2 linked regions of the Macaca mulatta genome follow. The protein of the gene in region 1 interacts with the protein of each later gene in a pairwise test. Links are inferred from orthologs where the notes say so. Each region holds a gene or a part of one and is shown on either strand. Other genes may lie near its edges.

Region 1 (2,916 bases):
GTGGCCCGAGGCAGGCCTCCCAGGCCTGCATTTGTGAATTGGGGAGCTCACTGGGTTATGTTTGGCGTAAGACAAGATAAAAACATGAAGCCGTTTGGGGCTTTCACATAGTAGGAGATACCCAAAGGAGGGCCTTTCTGTGGCAAACACACTGAGCACTCTCCTTCACACATTGTGCTGAGCCTGGGCAGATGGGTGAATCCAGCACACCCTCACGAAGCTCAGCAGAGTGGGCAGGTCGAGAAAAGCAGCACCAGTCCTGCAGAGTGCACTAGCACTTTCCATGTCTCCCTCAGCAACTCTGAGGCAGGGCTTCTCCCACATCATAAGTAGGGAAGCTTGGAGGGCTTGTACCAGAACTCTGGACATCTCCCCTACCCACTGCAGGAAGCTTAATCCTTGCCCAGAGCTCATCTGGGGATTGGATGATGGCTGGTGGGGAGAAGTGCTCTTGCTGTGGTTCTCTTGCATTGTGTGTATCTGCGTTCTGGTGTGTGACCCGGTGGCCTAGGAGAGAGTTGGGAACTGTCTTCATCTGAGAGAGGGGGTGAGGCAGGCCCCCAGCACACAGCCTGAGCCCTGCCTATCCTCCTCCTCCAGCCTGTGCGTCTTGATGTCTGACTGGTTCAACTTCCATGGTCACATGTGCATCGCCTTTGAGCTCCTGGGCAAGAACACCTTTGAGTTCCTGAAGGAGAATAACTTCCAGCCTTACCCCCTACCACATGTCCGGCACATGGCCTACCAGCTCTGCCACGCCCTTAGATGTAAGTGTCCACCCTCAAAAGAAGCATGGGCAGCCACATGCCTACAGCCAAGTCATCTGGTTACTTGTCCCCATTCATTCCAGCACGTTACTAACCATTCTTCTGGGCCTGAGGGACACCAGATCCCCTTTGGCGGAAAGGCCTGTCTTCAGGTGGGAATCTCAGTGTGAGGATGGAAAGGTTAGGGCTCCCTCCAGGGACCGCCGGACCAGCCTCTCTACCCCCAGGCACTCAGGAAGAAAACAGAAAAGAACTGCTCCAGAATTGGCCTAACCACCAACCCCACCTCCCTGCTTCATGCATGGGGTAAAAAGGTAGAAGCCTGACCTGACAGGGCCACAGGTCCTGCCCACATGGAGACCCTCTGTGCAACCCTGACTTGTCATCTCCCTGCCAGCCTTGAAAAGCATTTGGTGGTGCCAGGGCTCAGCACTGTAGGATTTGCAGTGGTTGCAGCAGTACAGAAAGGCTCCTTGGTGAAGTTGGTAGACCTTGAGCTAGAATATAGAATAGCTCAAGGTAACCCTGCATCGCTCCCCTACCCTGAGCACTGCTACTTCGTGATAGGCTGCAGGCCACTGGGGTGGGAAGCCCCACATGGATGAGAAGACGGGTGTCTTCCTCCTCCCACAGAATTTGCAAGATGGGACAGGGACAAGGTTTCCAAGCAAGGGGAACAGCTTGGTGAGGCCTGGAGCCTGTTACGGGCTGAGAATTGGCTCCAGTGGAATAGGCTATCATTGGGGAGTCGTGGGCCACACAGTTGTGAGGGTCTTGAGTGCCAGATGGGAGCCTTGAGCTGAAAAGTGACTACAAGCAGGAAGCCACTGTCAGAAGGGGCTGGACGGGAAAGGCTTCCCTGCTCATGACTAGCGATGAGAGGCGGGGCTGGCTTCCTGGGTATGCAACCTATGCACTCAGTCACACAGGACCCTGTGCTTGATTCTTAGTAACTTGAACAGGGGACCTGCATTTTCATTTTGCAAAGGGCCCTGCAAATTATGTAGCTGGTGCGGGGAAGAGGGAACCAACTCAAGGCTGTTGCTGTAGCTTTGGTGAGAGACAGGTGAGGAGGCCTGGTCTCTGCAGAGGAGAGGTGGAGGGAGGTTTTTCAAATGGCAAATTTCTTTCCCACCCCCCTGCTAAAGTATCAGAACCCTCCAAGGCCTCAAGTACAGACTCTTGAGAGAGAGGCCAGCACAGAGGCAGGCTGCAGTCCAGCTCCCTGCTGAGGTGGGGGTGTGAGGAGCTCTGGCAGTTGCTGGCATTGGAGGAGGGGTCTGGCCTAGCGCTGGCAGGAGAGCCAGCTTCTCATTTGCCTACTTCCCCTTCTTTCCCTGCTCCCTTAGTTCTGCATGAGAATCAGCTGACCCATACAGACTTGAAGCCAGAGAACATCCTGTTTGTGAATTCTGAGTTTGAAACCCTCTACAATGAACACAAGGTATTGGTGGGGGTAAGGGTGAGGCCCTGCTCCAGGGGTGGGTTACCCACTGGTGTGGACTCCTGACCTGGCAGGCCTGCCTTGCTTTTCAGAGCTGTGAGGAGAAGTCAGTGAAGAACACCAGCATCCGAGTGGCTGACTTTGGCAGTGCCACCTTTGACCATGAGCATCACACAACCATTGTGGCCACCCGTCACTATCGCCCACCTGAGGTGATCCTTGGTGAGTGACTGTATGGCCTGTGACCTCGTCACACTGGACTGTTGGGAGGGTATAAACAGAGGCAGTGGCATGCCTGGCAGTCTCTGCCACCCAGGGCAGGCAGAGTTTCTCAGACCAAGAGGCCAGTGTCATGAGACACAGGTGACTGACCTGGTTTTATCTGTCAGCCTTACTGAGAGGGCCTTGTAATGGGATTTGGGCAAGAGTCCTGCCAGCCAGTGTGGTGGCTGCCCTGTGACCTCCAGGCTGGAAGCATAGGGCCAGATCTCACAGCCTCTCCCCATCTTGGCTTTCAGAGCTGGGCTGGGCACAGCCCTGTGACGTCTGGAGCATTGGCTGCATTCTCTTTGAGTACTACCGGGGCTTCACACTCTTCCAGGTACAGCCACCCCACATCGCTCCCCTACCCTGAGCACTGCTACTGTGATAGGCTGCAGGCCACTGGGGTGGGAAGCCCCACCTGGATGAGAAGACAGGTGTCTT
Region 2 (4,508 bases), on another chromosome or scaffold:
AGCACAGGCTTTGGGGTCAGGCAGTGTGTTAGTGTTAGAACCTAGCCTGACAACTTGCTGAGCAGATGTTTCCACCTCTCTGAGCCTCCATGTTCTCATTTGAGAAAGGAGCTTTAAGACTACGCCTGCCCAGCCTGCCTACCTCTCGGTGTTGCAGTAGAAGTTGGATAAGGGCAGGGAAGGCCCTTAATGAGCATGAGCATTAATTGAGGTTTTCCAGAACCAACAGGGTATGTATCTTTATTTTGAGATATTTATTTTAAGGAATTGGCTCATGTGAATGTGGAGGCTGGCAAATCCAAAATCGGCAGGGTAGACTGGCAGGTGGGAGACCCAGGAAGGAGTTCCTGCTGCAAGTGGAGGCCAAGGCAGCCTGCAGCAGAATTCCCTCTTCCTTGAGCGAGCTCAGTCTTTATTCTATTGAGGCCTTCAACTGATGGAATGAGGCCCACCACCTTACAGATGATAATCCGCTTTACTCAGAAAAAAAGTCTACCAATGTAAATGCTAACCTCATCTTAAAAAACACCTTCACAATAAGATCTAGGATAATGTTTGACCAAATATCTGGGTACCTGGGTTCAGCCAACTTGACACATAAAATTAACCATCCCAGCATGGAAGAGCCCCGGTCCCCCACCTGACATCTTGATGTTTGCCTTCTCTGTGAATTATTCTTTCTGGGCCAAGGCAGCTGTCTGGGAGTTCTCTGCGAGTTTTGTTTTCAAAGCTCTGGGCACAGGAGTTGCATGTCTCTCTCCTTTCTGGCTCACGCACTTGGGGCGTGTTTTCTTGCCCTTGAGGGGCTGGGCAAGTGCCTCATATGGTCCCACGGCTGTCCACAAGTGTGCTGAGAAACTGGACACACAGAGGCTCCCACCCGCTGACCACTCCGGGGCCTGTGTTTACACAGAAGCAGACCAAAACCTGAGTCCAGTTAGGTCCCTGCTTTGCTGTGTCCCTGAGCAAGTCAGTTTCCTCTCTGAGTCTCTTTCTCCTCTGCTCCTCTCCCTGAATCTGAGTTCCCCGGTCACTGAGAACAGGGCGAAAGGGACAGAGCCTCAAAAGATGACCTGTGCCCCCTGCTTCTAAGCACTTTGCAGGTATTATTTAATCATCAAGCTAATCCTATGAAAGAGCTGCCACTTTCCCCAGCTTACAGATGGGGAAATTGAGGCGCAAAGAGGGCAGGTGATGTTCCCAAGAACAGATGTCTAGCAGGTATGAAGCCCTCATAATGGGGTTCTAGAGGCTGTTTGGTTAACCTCAAGTTTTGGGGAGCCCCTGAAGGGCTGTTCACCATGCTGCAGGGCACAGGGAAAGCGTCTGAGCTTGAGTCAGTTTTGGTTTCCCTGCTGGGGTGCAGGAGTCGGTAAACCTTGCTGCAAGGGGAAGGCGAAAGCCTCTGAGCTTAAGTTAGTTTTGGTTTCCCTGCTCCGGACGCAGGAGTTGGTAAACTCGCTGCAGGGGGCAGGGCAGGGCCTCTGAGCTTAAGTTAGTTTTCGTTTCCCTGCCCCGGATGCAGGAGGTGGTAGCTCACTGCAGGGGCAGGGCAGAGCCTCTGAGCTTAAGTTAGTTTTCGTTTCCCTGCCCCGGATGCAGGAGTTGGTAGCTCGCTGCAGCGGGTGGAGAGAGGCCTCTAGACTTCAGTTTCTGTTTCCTGTCTCTGGGCAGCAGCGAGAATTCCTCTGCCTCCCATTCTGCCATTCATTGTCTTGCCGGCAGCCAGCTGAGAGCAATGGGAAATGGGGGGTCCCAGCTGTCCTCGGTGCCTGCTCAGAAGCTGGGTGGGTTTATCCAGGAATACCTGAAGCCCTACGAAGAGTGTCAGACACTGATCGACGACATGGTGAACACCATCTGTGATGTCCTGCAGGCACCCAACCAGTTCCCCCTGGTGCAAGGAGTGGCCATTGTGAGTCCAGGGCTGAGGTTGGGGCTATGGGGGGCAGGAAATTCCACAGCGGCAGCAAGGCCGAGCTACTGGGTGCTGGGCGCCTATTATGTGTGAAGCCCACACTTGGGTGGGATGTGGTGTAGGAGTTTCAGGCTCTGGAGCAGGCTCTTGCTCCAGAGCTGTGTGACACTGGGCAGGCTACCTAACCTCTCTGTGCCTCAGTCTCTGAATCTGTAAAATGGGGAGAGGCATAGTACCCACTTCAGAGTATCATAAGGCTTGAGCGCATCACATTCTTAGCAAAAGACTGGCACATAGTGCTCAGTGAACTCACCGTGATTACTCACTGCCATTTTCTTCTGTCCTTTCCACAGTACAGAGGAGTAAACTTATGGAGGCTAGAGAACTTTGATCAGACTATCCAGGTTGCCTTCTGGTTTCTTCGCAGCAAGGAGTGGCTTTCATCAGTTAGAAATATTTAGTTTTGTGGACACAAATCTCAGGACTGAGGCTGAAAATTCTGGACCTCTGGGGAGGAAGGGGGATTGGGGAGGTGCCAGGACCCTAGAATTGGGGGTGTGGGGGTCCTCATGGCCCAATACTACCCTCTTACCTTTCTGCGCTGCTGACGTCCCTTCTCTGCTGGTGCCACGCTTTTTGGTCTCTACCCCTTGCACACACCAGCTAGTGCCGCAATAAAGAAATCTAGACATGTGGTGTCCCCAGCCCTGGCTCAGGAAGCTAAGGCAAGTTTGGTTAACAGCTGTTGTCAGAACTGGGATTTTAAGCCTGGGTAACTGACTTGAGGGCATGCATGTTTAACCACTACACTATCCTGCCTCTCAATAGTGTTAACATTTTTCCTCACTGAAGTAAAACAGAAAAACTGCCCAGATCAAAGTGTCCAGCTTGATAGGTAGCCACAAACAATGTAACTGTGTAGCCCCCACCCAGATCCAGAAACAAAACATTCTCAGCGCCCCAGAACCCTGGGCCCCCAATCCAATCAATACCTCCAAACCCAAGTAGGCAATCTCCTGACTTCTAATAGCATAGACACCTTTTACCTGTTTTTAAACTTTTTACGAATATAGGGTGACCAACTATCGCAGTTTGTCCAGGATTGGGGTGTTTCCTGGGATGTGGGACTTTTGGTGCCAAAACTGGGAATGTAAACCAGGATGCATGGGTGACCCTATATAAATGGCGTCATGGGCTCTGTGTGCTTTAGTGCATGGTTTCTCTGACCGAAGATGTTTATGAAATTTATGTTGTGGAGTGCAGTTGTTTATCTTTTCACTGTTGTGTCAATTCCATTGTGTGAATATACCACATTTGTCCATTCTACTGCTTTTTAGTTTTACATAATTGTACATATTTATATGAGGTACACGTGATAGTTGAACATATGGATATAATGTGAAATGATCAAGTCAGGGTAGTTAGGATATCTGTCATCTCAAACATTTATCATTTCTTTGTGTTGAGGACAGTTCAGATCTTCTCTTCTAGCTATTTTGAAATATATAATAAATTATTGTTAACTATAGTCACCCCATTGTGCTATCAAACACTAGAATTTATTCCTTCTATCTAACTGTATGTTTGTATCCATTAACCAACTTCTCTTCATTTCCTTCTCCACTCCCCAGCCTCTGGTAACTATGATCCTACTCTCTACCTCCATGAGATCAACTTTTTTTTAACTTCCACATAAGCACATGCAATAATTGTCTTTCTATGCCTGACTTATTTCATTTAACATAATGACCTATAGTTCCATCCACATTGCTGCAAATGACAGAATTCCATTCTTTTTGTGTCTGAATAGTATTCTATCGTGTATATATATCACATTGTCTTTATCCATTCATCCGCTGATGGATATGTTGGTTGATTACATATCTTGGCTTTTGTGAATAGTACTGCAATAAACATAGGGGTACAGTTATCCCTTTTTTGGATAAATACCTAGTAGTGGGATTGCTGGATCGAATGGTAATGCCATTTTTAGTTTTTGAGAAACCTCCATACTGTTTTCCATAATGACTGTCCTAATTTAAATTCCCACCAACAGTGTGTAAGATTCCCTTTACTCCAAATTCTTGCTAGCATTTGTTATTTTTTGTCTTTTTGATAATAGCTATTCTAACTGGGGTGATATGATATCTCATTGTGGTTTTGATTTGCATTTCCCTAATGATAAGTGATGTCAAGCATTTTTTCACATACCCATTGACCATTTTGTATGTCTTCTTTTGAGAAATGTCTATTTAGTTCCTTTGCCTGCTTTTTAAATGGGATGGGTTGTTTTCTTTGCTGTTGAGTTGTTCAAGTTCCTTGTATATTCTGGATATTAAACCCTTTTTTGGAAAAATAGTTTCCAAATATTTTCTGCCATTCTACAGTTTGTCTTTTCAGTCTTGATTGTTCCCTTTGCCATGCAGAAGCTTTTCCATTTAATATAGTCCCAATTGTCTATTTTTGGTTTTGTTGCCTGTGCTTTTGAAGTCTTAGCCACAAAATCTTTGCATAGACCAATATCCTGAAGCATTACTCTTCTGCTTTATTCTATTAGTTTTATTGTTTCCGGCCTTACATTTAACTCTTT

What was found.
Region 2: the proteins of CLK3 (region 1) and OAS2 interact in binary tests that used the Homo sapiens proteins (3 or more experiments, as listed by UniProt). The two-hybrid records come from large-scale screens. The link is inferred for Macaca mulatta from reciprocal best matches to the Homo sapiens genes CLK3 and OAS2.

Annotation. Positions count from the first base shown.
Region 1 is NC_133412.1:52,562,415-52,565,330, forward strand, and holds part of CLK3 (dual specificity protein kinase CLK3), read left to right. Parts: intron 1-600; coding exon 601-767; intron 768-2,116; coding exon 2,117-2,211; intron 2,212-2,303; coding exon 2,304-2,433; intron 2,434-2,729; coding exon 2,730-2,812; intron 2,813-2,916. UniProt on the Homo sapiens protein: Dual specificity kinase acting on both serine/threonine and tyrosine-containing substrates. Phosphorylates serine- and arginine-rich (SR) proteins of the spliceosomal complex.
Region 2 is NC_133416.1:120,223,891-120,228,398, forward strand, and holds the start of OAS2 (2'-5'-oligoadenylate synthase 2), read left to right. Parts: upstream 1-1,438; 5' UTR 1,439-1,738; coding exon 1,739-1,915; intron 1,916-4,508.